Styela clava: one gene and its partners. The protein of the gene in region 1 binds, or shares a complex with, the protein of each later gene. Links are inferred from orthologs where the notes say so. Each region holds a gene or a part of one and is shown on either strand. Other genes may lie near its edges.

Region 1 (3,765 bases):
ACTAGAATCCGAAGATGAACTTGATGATGAATCAGAGGACATTATTTCAACCTCTTCATCTCCTTTTTGACCATATCCAAATTTTCCGTCCATACCAGATGCTGATTGGTTGCCCCATTGTGGTTGTTGTATATCATTAGATCGCGACATACCAACTAAATTTGGTACAGAAAGTCCTTCCGTTCCTAACTGCGGCGGTGGCTTAATCGTTGAATTTGCATCTGTCATATTGTTAATCTGTCCCAGCCAACCACATCTCATTTCGATGTCCTGTGGATAGGGTCGTCTTGGGTCACCTGGCGCCCAATTTAATGGAGCTGCCGTGGCACATGCAGCGCTTATTTTGTGAGCATATTTAATGATATCTTCAGAAGGAACAGCACCTTTTCTTGCTCTTCTGATCGATTTGAGTTTTTCTTTGGCTTGGTATAGAGCAGTGGATAAAAGATGTTCCGCATCTTTTAGGTGTTTTTGTAAAACCTCAATTTCTTTATTTTTTTGTGCGATTTCAGCTTTGTATAATTTGATATCACGATGAAGTTGTTGTTGGTCGCGTGCCATTGCCATTTTCTCTTCTAAATCTTTGTTTTTTTGAAGCAAAAGATCAGTAAGCTGATTCACGTTCATTTTTTGTGGGATAGCTTCATCATTTTGAGAATTGAAAGTTTGACTGGTTGAAGATTGCCTTGATGACTGTTGGGAAAGAGTTTCAAACAATTGCCGAGTAATAAGATCAATGTCTTCAACAAGAGCCATTAATTGTTGTTTAGTGCTGATGCTTCCTCGTTGTAATTCCATTTCCAATCTTTTTTCGATAATAACTTTTGAAGAATAAATTTGAATATCAATATTATGATATTGAAATACCCTGAATTAAAATTATGCCTGCAATGAAGAAGTTTCTTATTGTTAATAATACTGTAATAATAGTTTACAACAAAGACGGAACTTTATCGCAAATAACCGCAACCCAATATATGATCTTATATTCCTGACAATTTAAGTTTGACAATTTAGGAATAAATTATGTTTATCTTAATTAAAGGAAGGATTACAGATGTAAGTTTTTAAAAAATTTAATTTTGATTGGAATCTGATTCTATTTACATTAGTATAATATATCGTATCACCGTTGACTTAATACAAATTTAAAATAACTGAAGGATAAATTGTGATAAAATAATAATGCATAATGTTGTTGGAAAAAATACATTCAATGAACTCAATTTATTTAGGCGGAGAACTTTTATTTTCTGTTTCATAGCTGCATAGAGCTATCAATCAATCAATTTTATTTTGGCCACTCTGAACGAAACAAAACATCAACAAACGGACAAACAAAATGCAGAGGAGCTACACTTACTTACATTTTCATTCCAAAACAATAGCGAACCTATACCGTAGTCTAGCGCTCATTTCTTCTAAAATTGACCTAAAAAATAATTCAATTTTGTAAACCCAGAGACCCTAGTTATTTAAATGTAGGCTACTTACTGACTTAAATAAAAAAAATACCTGAATACTGTTTGCAACATGATTCTTAAGGAAGCGGACCTATGTTTTAATAAGGAACACCAGTATCCAATGATTTTGTAAGTTTTAGGGTAATGACATTATATTAGTACGTTAAAGAATCGTTCATATAACTTAATGAGGGTCTAGTATAGTTTAGTACCACAAGTGCCGGTACTTCCGGTGGGCGTAGCATAACGATTTTTGCATATGTTACTCCTAACCCTCACCTGATTATGCCATCCAAAAATTACGTCACTACGACGTCACCATCACGTCATAGGGATTGCCAAAGTATAATTACCATCGCCCGAAATGGCATCTGCGCCGCCGATAAGAACTTGTTAAGGCCGGCGATCTCTCTCCTATCGTGATCGTTGCGACGAGAAAACGAGAGAAATAGCTTGCTCGATTTCGGGTTATCGTCTGCGCGTTTTGGACGACCATCCGCATACTTCGGTGGGCCTTATTACGCCACTGTGACGTCGGAATGACGTAATTTTTCGGTGACGTAGTCAGGTGGGGGTTAGGATTGACATATGCAAAAATTGTTGAGCCAGGCCAACTAGAAGTGGATGTGGTACTAAACTATACCAGACCCCTTAATGACATACCGTAGGTATCGGTATTTGTGAACTTCAATACCGGTACCGTACAATATTCGTTACGTCAGTACCGGTACCCGGTACGTTGATGACAAAGACACAGGTCAGCACGTAGAGTAGCCTATAAAATATCGTAACAATACAGCAATACCGCCCATTAGTCTGATTAGTTAACCAGTCGTTTGTTTTCCATGTTTGATGTGGGGTTGAATTGTCCGGATACCGAAACCGGTTAACCCAAATGTATTTTGCTACCTGATATCCGGATAGCATTGTGACGGTTAACAGATTCAGATACTGTATTTATTTCGTCGTGCATGAAACAATGTACAGACAAAATTAAACAAATATAATAACCGGATATTAAAGTAGCATAAATAATCCATATGCTCATTAATGATTTTTTATATTTTTGTTACGTAGCAGCTGCCATTCCCCAAAGCATATATTAACAAATTTTATTCACACTTCTTTGCTTATACCTTTGCCATCCAATCAATCATCATTTATTCGTCAACACAATTTAAACATGGTATGATATATGAAAAAATATCACAAATACAAGTGGAAACTAACTTAAATTGTGTGACAGGAGTCGCGAGGGACCTCAAGAGGTCTTCAGGCAGCGACACCACCAGCGCCATCCGTAAATGCTGGAGTGTACTTCCACTATCACATCACAAAATAAATGTGATTTTTATGTAAAAGTAGAGCGCATTCGCTTCACCTTTGACTGATAAGCATAAATGAATTTATTCTCCATTCATCATTAGCCTAATGAGATGGGTGAGCAAAATAAAACGTCACCAGCTAGCTTATCAATATCCGGCTTCATTTTAGTCAGAAACGGTCTTATGTTTCTTCAACGATGTCAAATGCGGTTACTCTTGTAATCTAGAAGCGCGGTCATGGCACAGGTATGAGCTGTTAAAGGATTTTTTTTTACATGATCCCGCACGTGAGGGTATTTTAATTTGGTTTAATTCTGAACAATTATTATGGAACACTGAACATTTGTTTGAGTTCAAAATCTTTTTGCAATTTGATGTTCCTTTTCAAGAATCCCACGTCCGTGAATAATACTAAACTAGAATTGGAAAAATGTTCGTCCAGGCATATTTCACTGATACACGACGAGCCTATTATTGGAACCAGACAGTGTTATTGGAACCAATCCATCTTTATCAGATTGATTTATTCTCCATGAAAGTAAACTGCTGGAATTCAACAACAGTATCAAAAGGGTGTGAAATCAGTCAGTCAGTAGTTTATTTTTTCACCAAACTTAATATACACTTGGTTCGAACATTGAATAGGAGTAAACGTAGTAATGGCATTCCAAGTTCCGCGAAAATCAAATGCTGGTCATCGAGCAGCGATACCCGTCTTGCTGGTGTATGGCAGATAGATATCCATGGAAAGCCATATCTTACTTCAGTGTGAAGTAAGGCTAGTAAGCGCTCAAATGCATTCATCACTTTCATTGCATAATTATTTAAGTGAGCGAGTGTTTAGCACGCGTTTATTTTATTTACTGCCTTCATGACTATGACTGAAAAATCAACTCGTTTCTGTACTTTATCATTGCTCAATGAAACAAGAGAGCTACGCCCAAATATATGGACACGTCTGTTCGCAGTACAGTACG
Region 2 (2,728 bases), on another chromosome or scaffold:
TGGGGAACGTGTATGTATCGGACATCGTCTCATTCAGTATATCCTACAGCGTTTGACAAAAACGTTACTGGAAAAATTTACATGGGAAATTGATGGTGATGTCAACAATACAAAAAAGTACAAATTACTCCCAGTCGCAAGACCTACAGAATTGCCTTGCGTTAGATTTCATAATAAAATATAGTTGATTATTTTTCTCACAATTTTTGTCGTTTTACCTCTGTATTGTGTTATGTGCCCATTATCCTCTATAGCCTAATCTGTTTTTAAAATGTTCCGATGAAATTTCAAATTACATTCAACACTCTGAAGCTTTAAAATTGTTTTGAACAAGTCCTTTTTTCATTCAATCATTATATAACTAATTCTTTCTTACAAATTGCAACTTCTTGCAAATTGCACTTGATTCTTCGAAATCAATTTGTTATCATTTTTTTTAATTTTTCTGTAAAATTTTTAATCACTTGATTATTAATACCTTATGAATGATGAACAGTATTATTGTTACTGTACTGTACCATGTTACCGCAGCATTATTTTTATCAATATGAATTTTGCAATGTCAGTCAGTACTTGATATATTCCCAGAGCACTTTTTTATCTTTATTTGTTACCTAACAAATATACCATATATCATGGATGTTTATTAATATTGATATTGTTAACAAAAATTCTATTCTCATATTTCTCCACATCGGTATTGGAATACTGTACTTCTAGACTTTTTTGAAAAATTATTTATAACTTGAGTATTTTCTAATTTATTTGTTTTGCAATTGAGTTTTCTCTGCAGATTATTTCTTCAAATTATTATCAATATTACAATGCGGTTCATTTAGAAATCAAGATTTGTTCTCTCCATTTCTATGCATGAAATTTGAAATTATCTTTTTGTGTACCTTAATTAAACGATATTCAGCATGATTTGTGAGTTACCTAATTCAAACATTTACAGACTTCTTTTTTATATAAGACCTGTCTATTTAAACCGGTATTCCATCTTGTACTAGTGTTTTTATCAAACTGTGTTGTGGCTTGTGATAAGAATCAGTTTCAAATTTTCTGATAGGGCTGTATTTGATTTTTGACTAGTTTTTATTATCAAATGATGTGAAGTTATGCAAATTGATATCTTAGATTTATAATGAGTACTGTTTATATTTATCAGCCTGCAACACTTATTTCTAAAAATAATATCATGGAATCTCAAGGAATAGAAGAAAAAGTGCTCGAGCAATCAGTTGAAGCCCTCATGAATCGTTCTCGAGAATTGAAAAATGCTTTGGTACAATTTATTGCAAAAATAGATCACGAACATGAAACTCTTACTTGGACATCAGTCTTGGATAGTTATGCTCTGTTATCGGGTCAAATGAGTTCACTCTTCAACTTATTGAAAGCTGAAAAAATAGCACCTCTTCAAAATTATCCTATTATACCATTACGCTTGGGCCAGGATGACGACCAATATCTTGCTAATCTAACGGAAGGTAGATTGCTATATCTTAATCATGCCGTTGTCCCAGATTATCTAAGGACCAAACCTGATCCAGAGGTCGAACAAACGGAACGTCAAATGAATAATGAAGCAAGTGTATGTAATGATGCAGCCGTCAAAAACTTAAACAAATGTTGTGATAAAATGTTAGAAAGAATAAAACTTTCTCTACATAATTGGAAAAACGATCAACAGCAAATGAAAAATATAAAACCAACATTTAATCAGAATGACACTGTACAATTAATTGCAGCTTCAACGTACGGTCGTGATATTTCAATACAACAGTCTCGAAACCCAACTCAGCTACCACCAGGAGGTGGGAAAATGCAAACGGCTACGGGTGTCAAAATAGAGTCCCATCCATATTCAAGGCCATGATTGCTTAGGATCAATGTTTTGGATCCATTTGGTATTGGAATATTGTTGTAAACGCATTGTCTTAACATGAAATAAAGGCTTTATGAGCCGTGGGACTGCTTGAAAAAATATAAGCAAAACTCTATGTTATATTCTGACATTACATGAATAAATATATGAGGGAACTGGCGAATATGTAGGGGAATTGTAGTTCATCTAAAATTAATTTTTCTATCTAGATTATGAAGAAGACTGATGAAATACAATATGATAAAAACTGCTTTTCTTGTGATATATTTATTTTATATTGAGCATGAAAGCGGAATTGGAATTAGCCTCTTTGTTGAGGTATCTTTCTATACCATAAGCGTAAGGGAATGCCTATGGGCCTGTTTTACAGTAAGCCATGGTACAAACTGCTAAATTTAACATGGTTTGTCGAATCTTGGATGTTTTGTACTCCCAGATTGGGTTTCACAATGTAGTTTCCATGCCAGTTTTGTATAAAGCCATGGTACAAACTGCTAAATTTAACATGGTTTTTCAAATCTTGGATGTTTTGTACTTCCAGATTGGGTTTCACAATTTAGTTTCCATGCCAGTTTTGTATACCATTCATATTGTCTGATAATACAACAACAAGAACATCTACTAAGCAAACAAAACTTTAATGTTTGAGCTTGACTGGTTACGAGTTAGTCTGACAGGTACGTAGGGCTTGATCAATCCAACTTACTGTTCTCCCATTATGATCAAGGGTAGGGATGGGCAATATAGAATACCGAATCCGGAGGATTCGAATCCAACGGGATCCGATATCAGGATTCGGTTTCCGCCTTTCCGGCGGCAAGCGTCAATTCTTGTATTTCG
Region 3 (3,765 bases), on another chromosome or scaffold:
CTCACCGTACCTTTGACGCTACCGGTACCTACGCTTGACAAAGCAGGAATTTCGTTCCACACCACCGACGTTCCATGAGCGTGATCAAAAGAACAACAAAAAGAGTGACAGCACAAAAACAAATCCAATACGTGTCATAAAAACGAATCCCACAGTGCTATCAAGAATATTTGAAATAGATGAATGTAATAGCCTTCTAAAGAATTTTTTTATCTTTAACCACTGAAAAGAGCAATTGGTCCAGTAATCAAAAAGAAAAGCGACTTTTTACGTTTTCCACAAGGTGTCCAAAAGTGTCAAAGAACAACAACAACATAATATTAAAACGATCGTTATGTTCACTAACTTGTCCAACAAGAACAACAAAAATTGCAAAACGATCGTTATGTGCACCAACGTGTCCAATTTACGTGCGAACTTGATCATTTCACATTTTGAAAAAACTACACACACGTGAGCTACTTGATCTCAAAAATCGGTGTGTCAGATAATTTGCAAAAATCCATTGACAGTAACCAGCAATGCTAACCGGTTTGCTGATCTCAAAATTCCGTGAGACGGTTCTATAGAACCAGTGCGAACAGGATGAATCCCACAACTGGATAAAGTGCGTAATAAACCGACATATTTTAATAAGTGATAGGGCCTACTACCCTCTAGTACAGGGTGGTCCAAACCCAGGCCGGCGGGCCACATGTGGGCCGCCGCGTCATTATCCGTGGCCCGCGACTCATTTGCGCGAAGGGAAACAAAAAATTGCACTTGGAGTTGTTTCATCTTGAAAATAACCAAAAAATATTTTAAAGTCACTGAATTGAGTAGTGTTATGGCTAGCTGAAGCAGCTAGCGTGGTTAATTTATGTGCTTAGGTAGACTAAATATTTATCTGGCTTTCCATTTTTTTGTTCGGGAATATATGCTAACAAAATAAGCTTCGTAGAAAAGTAAAAATCGAATATAAAGAATCTATAAGCCTAGGTTGGCTACGCATGTAACTGAATATAATTCCTGTCGGATCTTTTTTGAAATTTAGTAATTATCCTAATGTATCCCAAATTTGGTGAAATTCAGTAATCAATCAATCTGCTGTTATTTGTAAATTATTTTGTAAACATGAGTTTGAAAAGAATGCTGACCAATTCAAACAGATTTTTTGACTGGATATGGGATACCGGTACCATACCATAATACTTGCCCAATATGTCTGCAAGTTGTGTCGGTGATGACTGATGATCTAAAACGACATTTTCTTCGTTATGAAAAGTTTGAAATTTTACACTAAATGTAGATATAGACTAGTCTAGTAAGATTTGTGCAAGTTTTAGTAAGTTTTTTTTGGTGGTTTTTGTACGTTTTAGCTTGATAAATGACTAATAATGATCAATGTGTTTGGACAATAGAAGTGTGTGTTTTGTATTGCACTGTATACTCTAGGCACTATTGTGGCCCGCGAGGCCGACAACCTTGGACCACCCTGCTCTAGTGGTATAAGGGGAAAATTTTTCCATAAACAATGAATAACTTTGTAATATTTTTGATAAGTTGAAAGCAGATTGCAGACCCCAAAATTTTGTAGATATCATTTTTTGTGACAAAATTCATTTTCACATTGAAGTAGCATTGTAGAATTTTGTGAAATATACTCTACTATACCACTTTTTGTCATGCAGGTCTGCATTTTCTTGTTGTTTGTATCAATACTTCTTTCTGTATATGTACAAGCTGATTTAAATTAACGCATTCATGCTAAAATAAAGTTGAGATATTATATAATCTGGCAGTATGGGAGTTACATTTGTAACCCATTGGGATATTGAGGAAGGAAAAAATGTTCCACAATCATTAGAAGAACTTCAACGGACAATTGAAAAAATTGGAGCTAAAAAATCAGGATTATTTTGCGTGGAATGTGAAACATATCAAACAGTGAACATTAATCAAGGAAAACCTCTAAACATAATATCCAACTCGGAATACCCATTGTCAAAATTTGCACTTTTTGAAGATGGTGCTTCACTAATCGCAGATGCAATGCTACCAAATTTTTTAGTTAAGATGAGATTGTTTTGGCAACAGCGCAAAGGGGCAAAGATTGAGTGCAAAGGACATCGGTATATTCTCAATGATTTTTTATTCAAAATTGGAGTAGTTACTCATGGGTCAAATACAAGAGGAATTGCTGTTGAGATAGAGTACACTCCGTGCCTTTATGTTAAAGAATGTTGGAATTTGCTTTTAGAGATTTTTCAAAATATTCTGGGACCCCAAGCTCCTACATCGGAAAATCCACTTTTTCAAAAATTGAAATCAACTGACATAATATATACAGCGGAACATACATCTTTACAATACATAGAAGTTTTCAATAATTTTCGCAAAGTTACATCATGAATTGGGATTTTATATTCCGTTGGTCTGTTTCGTGTATTTGTAACATTGGAGTTGCAATGAGTTATAAAGTATGAAATATCAAATATTTTAATATTACCAGAACTTTCAGAACCTGTCCCTCCAAAATAGTAGATGAGAATTGATTTCCTATTTTTATTATGGAGAATGAAGTTTCTTATCGTCTTGTTCAACATTAAACAAATAATTGAAAATAATGCCATTTTCAACTAATTTGGTTTAAACTTTGAAAATTAGCTTTGGCGTCATCGCTCTAAAAAGTTTACTGATAAGTTTTTATTTTATTAAATATTTGGTATATATGTCTGCTAATTTAATACTTTCTTCTAAACAAAAATGTTATTCATATCCATGGGAAGATGATTTAATAAAAGGATTTTGCAAAACATTCGGTTAATTTTGACATGTAATATTTTTGTATTGCCATTTTTACTATGAACGTTGCCATGTACAGGGATCCCAGTTCAATACACCCTGCGTGAGATGATAGGCATGTGACTTCAACATGGGATGTTCAACCTAGTTATGCCCAGCGCTTTAACCAGTGATTTCATTTTATATTTGTTCATTTTTAAATCCATGCCTGTACGATGTGTATGTTATGTAGGTTTACATAAACTTTTGAAACCAACTTGATTGCTCTTTAGATATATTGACATAGTGACAGTACGATGACAGTCATGGTCACGATGCTTTGTTTAACTAGCATATTTATACGCTATTCAAATATTCCCATCTACTTATTACTACTTCTCAATAAAGTATCGAAATAATTTTACACAACCCAAATTGATGATATTGTGGAAAGAAAATCAGTCTGATTATAAGTTTTCATACAATTGCTATTTTATGAATTTATCTCAATTTTCTACCATCATCAATTTATGAGCTTGATAACCTTATTTGCAGAAATATTGTTTGTTCACTATAATAAGATGCCAACTTGTGCTGTTTGCGATAAGCTTGACAATTTGAAGTCCTGTAGTCGATGTGGAAGTGTAGAATATTGTGGGCGTGAACACCAAACACAACATTGGAAAGTGCATAAAAAAGATTGTAAAAAACAATCGGGCAAGACAGACAGCACTGAAAATTCTGAAGAACAAAATGAGAATTCCACAATAGATGAAGTCGCACAAAAGATCAAATCAATGAATTTAGAAACAGAAGGTCGTGTGGCACAGAATTCTATTCCTCTTAACCCATATGATAGTTACACAAAAAGGGATGAAGGAATTGTTGCTCGATGTCATAAAAACTTAGTTCAGAGGGGAATATGCGTCATCGATACGTTTGTGGATGAAAATAGAGCGGATTTGTGTCTGGCTGATGCAATGTCTTTATATTCGCAACCCG

What was found.
Region 2: mediator of RNA polymerase II transcription subunit 4-like (region 1) and mediator of RNA polymerase II transcription subunit 8-like share a complex: the UniProt entries of both Drosophila melanogaster proteins name them as parts of the mediator complex. The link is inferred for Styela clava from reciprocal best matches to the Drosophila melanogaster genes MED4 and MED8.
Region 3: mediator of RNA polymerase II transcription subunit 4-like (region 1) and mediator of RNA polymerase II transcription subunit 20-like share a complex: the UniProt entries of both Drosophila melanogaster proteins name them as parts of the mediator complex. The link is inferred for Styela clava from reciprocal best matches to the Drosophila melanogaster genes MED4 and MED20.

The regions. Positions count from the first base shown.
Region 1 is NC_135264.1:5,107,979-5,111,743, reverse strand, and holds the start of mediator of RNA polymerase II transcription subunit 4-like, read right to left. Parts: upstream 2,259-3,765; 5' UTR 2,127-2,258; intron 1,433-2,126; 5' UTR 1,368-1,432; intron 886-1,367; 5' UTR 799-885; coding exon 1-798. UniProt on the Drosophila melanogaster protein: Component of the Mediator complex, a coactivator involved in the regulated transcription of nearly all RNA polymerase II-dependent genes.
Region 2 is NC_135258.1:9,744,432-9,747,159, reverse strand, and holds mediator of RNA polymerase II transcription subunit 8-like, read left to right. Parts: upstream 1-1,142; 5' UTR 1,143-1,144; coding exon 1,145-1,879; 3' UTR 1,880-2,138; downstream 2,139-2,728. Other genes in the region: cytochrome P450 26B1-like, read left to right, coding at 1-184. UniProt on the Drosophila melanogaster protein: Component of the Mediator complex, a coactivator involved in the regulated transcription of nearly all RNA polymerase II-dependent genes.
Region 3 is NC_135251.1:21,685,168-21,688,932, reverse strand, and holds mediator of RNA polymerase II transcription subunit 20-like, read left to right. Parts: upstream 1-1,043; 5' UTR 1,044-1,782; coding exon 1,783-2,391; 3' UTR 2,392-3,293; downstream 3,294-3,765. Other genes in the region: prolyl hydroxylase EGLN3-like, read left to right, coding at 3,294-3,765. UniProt on the Drosophila melanogaster protein: Component of the Mediator complex, a coactivator involved in the regulated transcription of nearly all RNA polymerase II-dependent genes.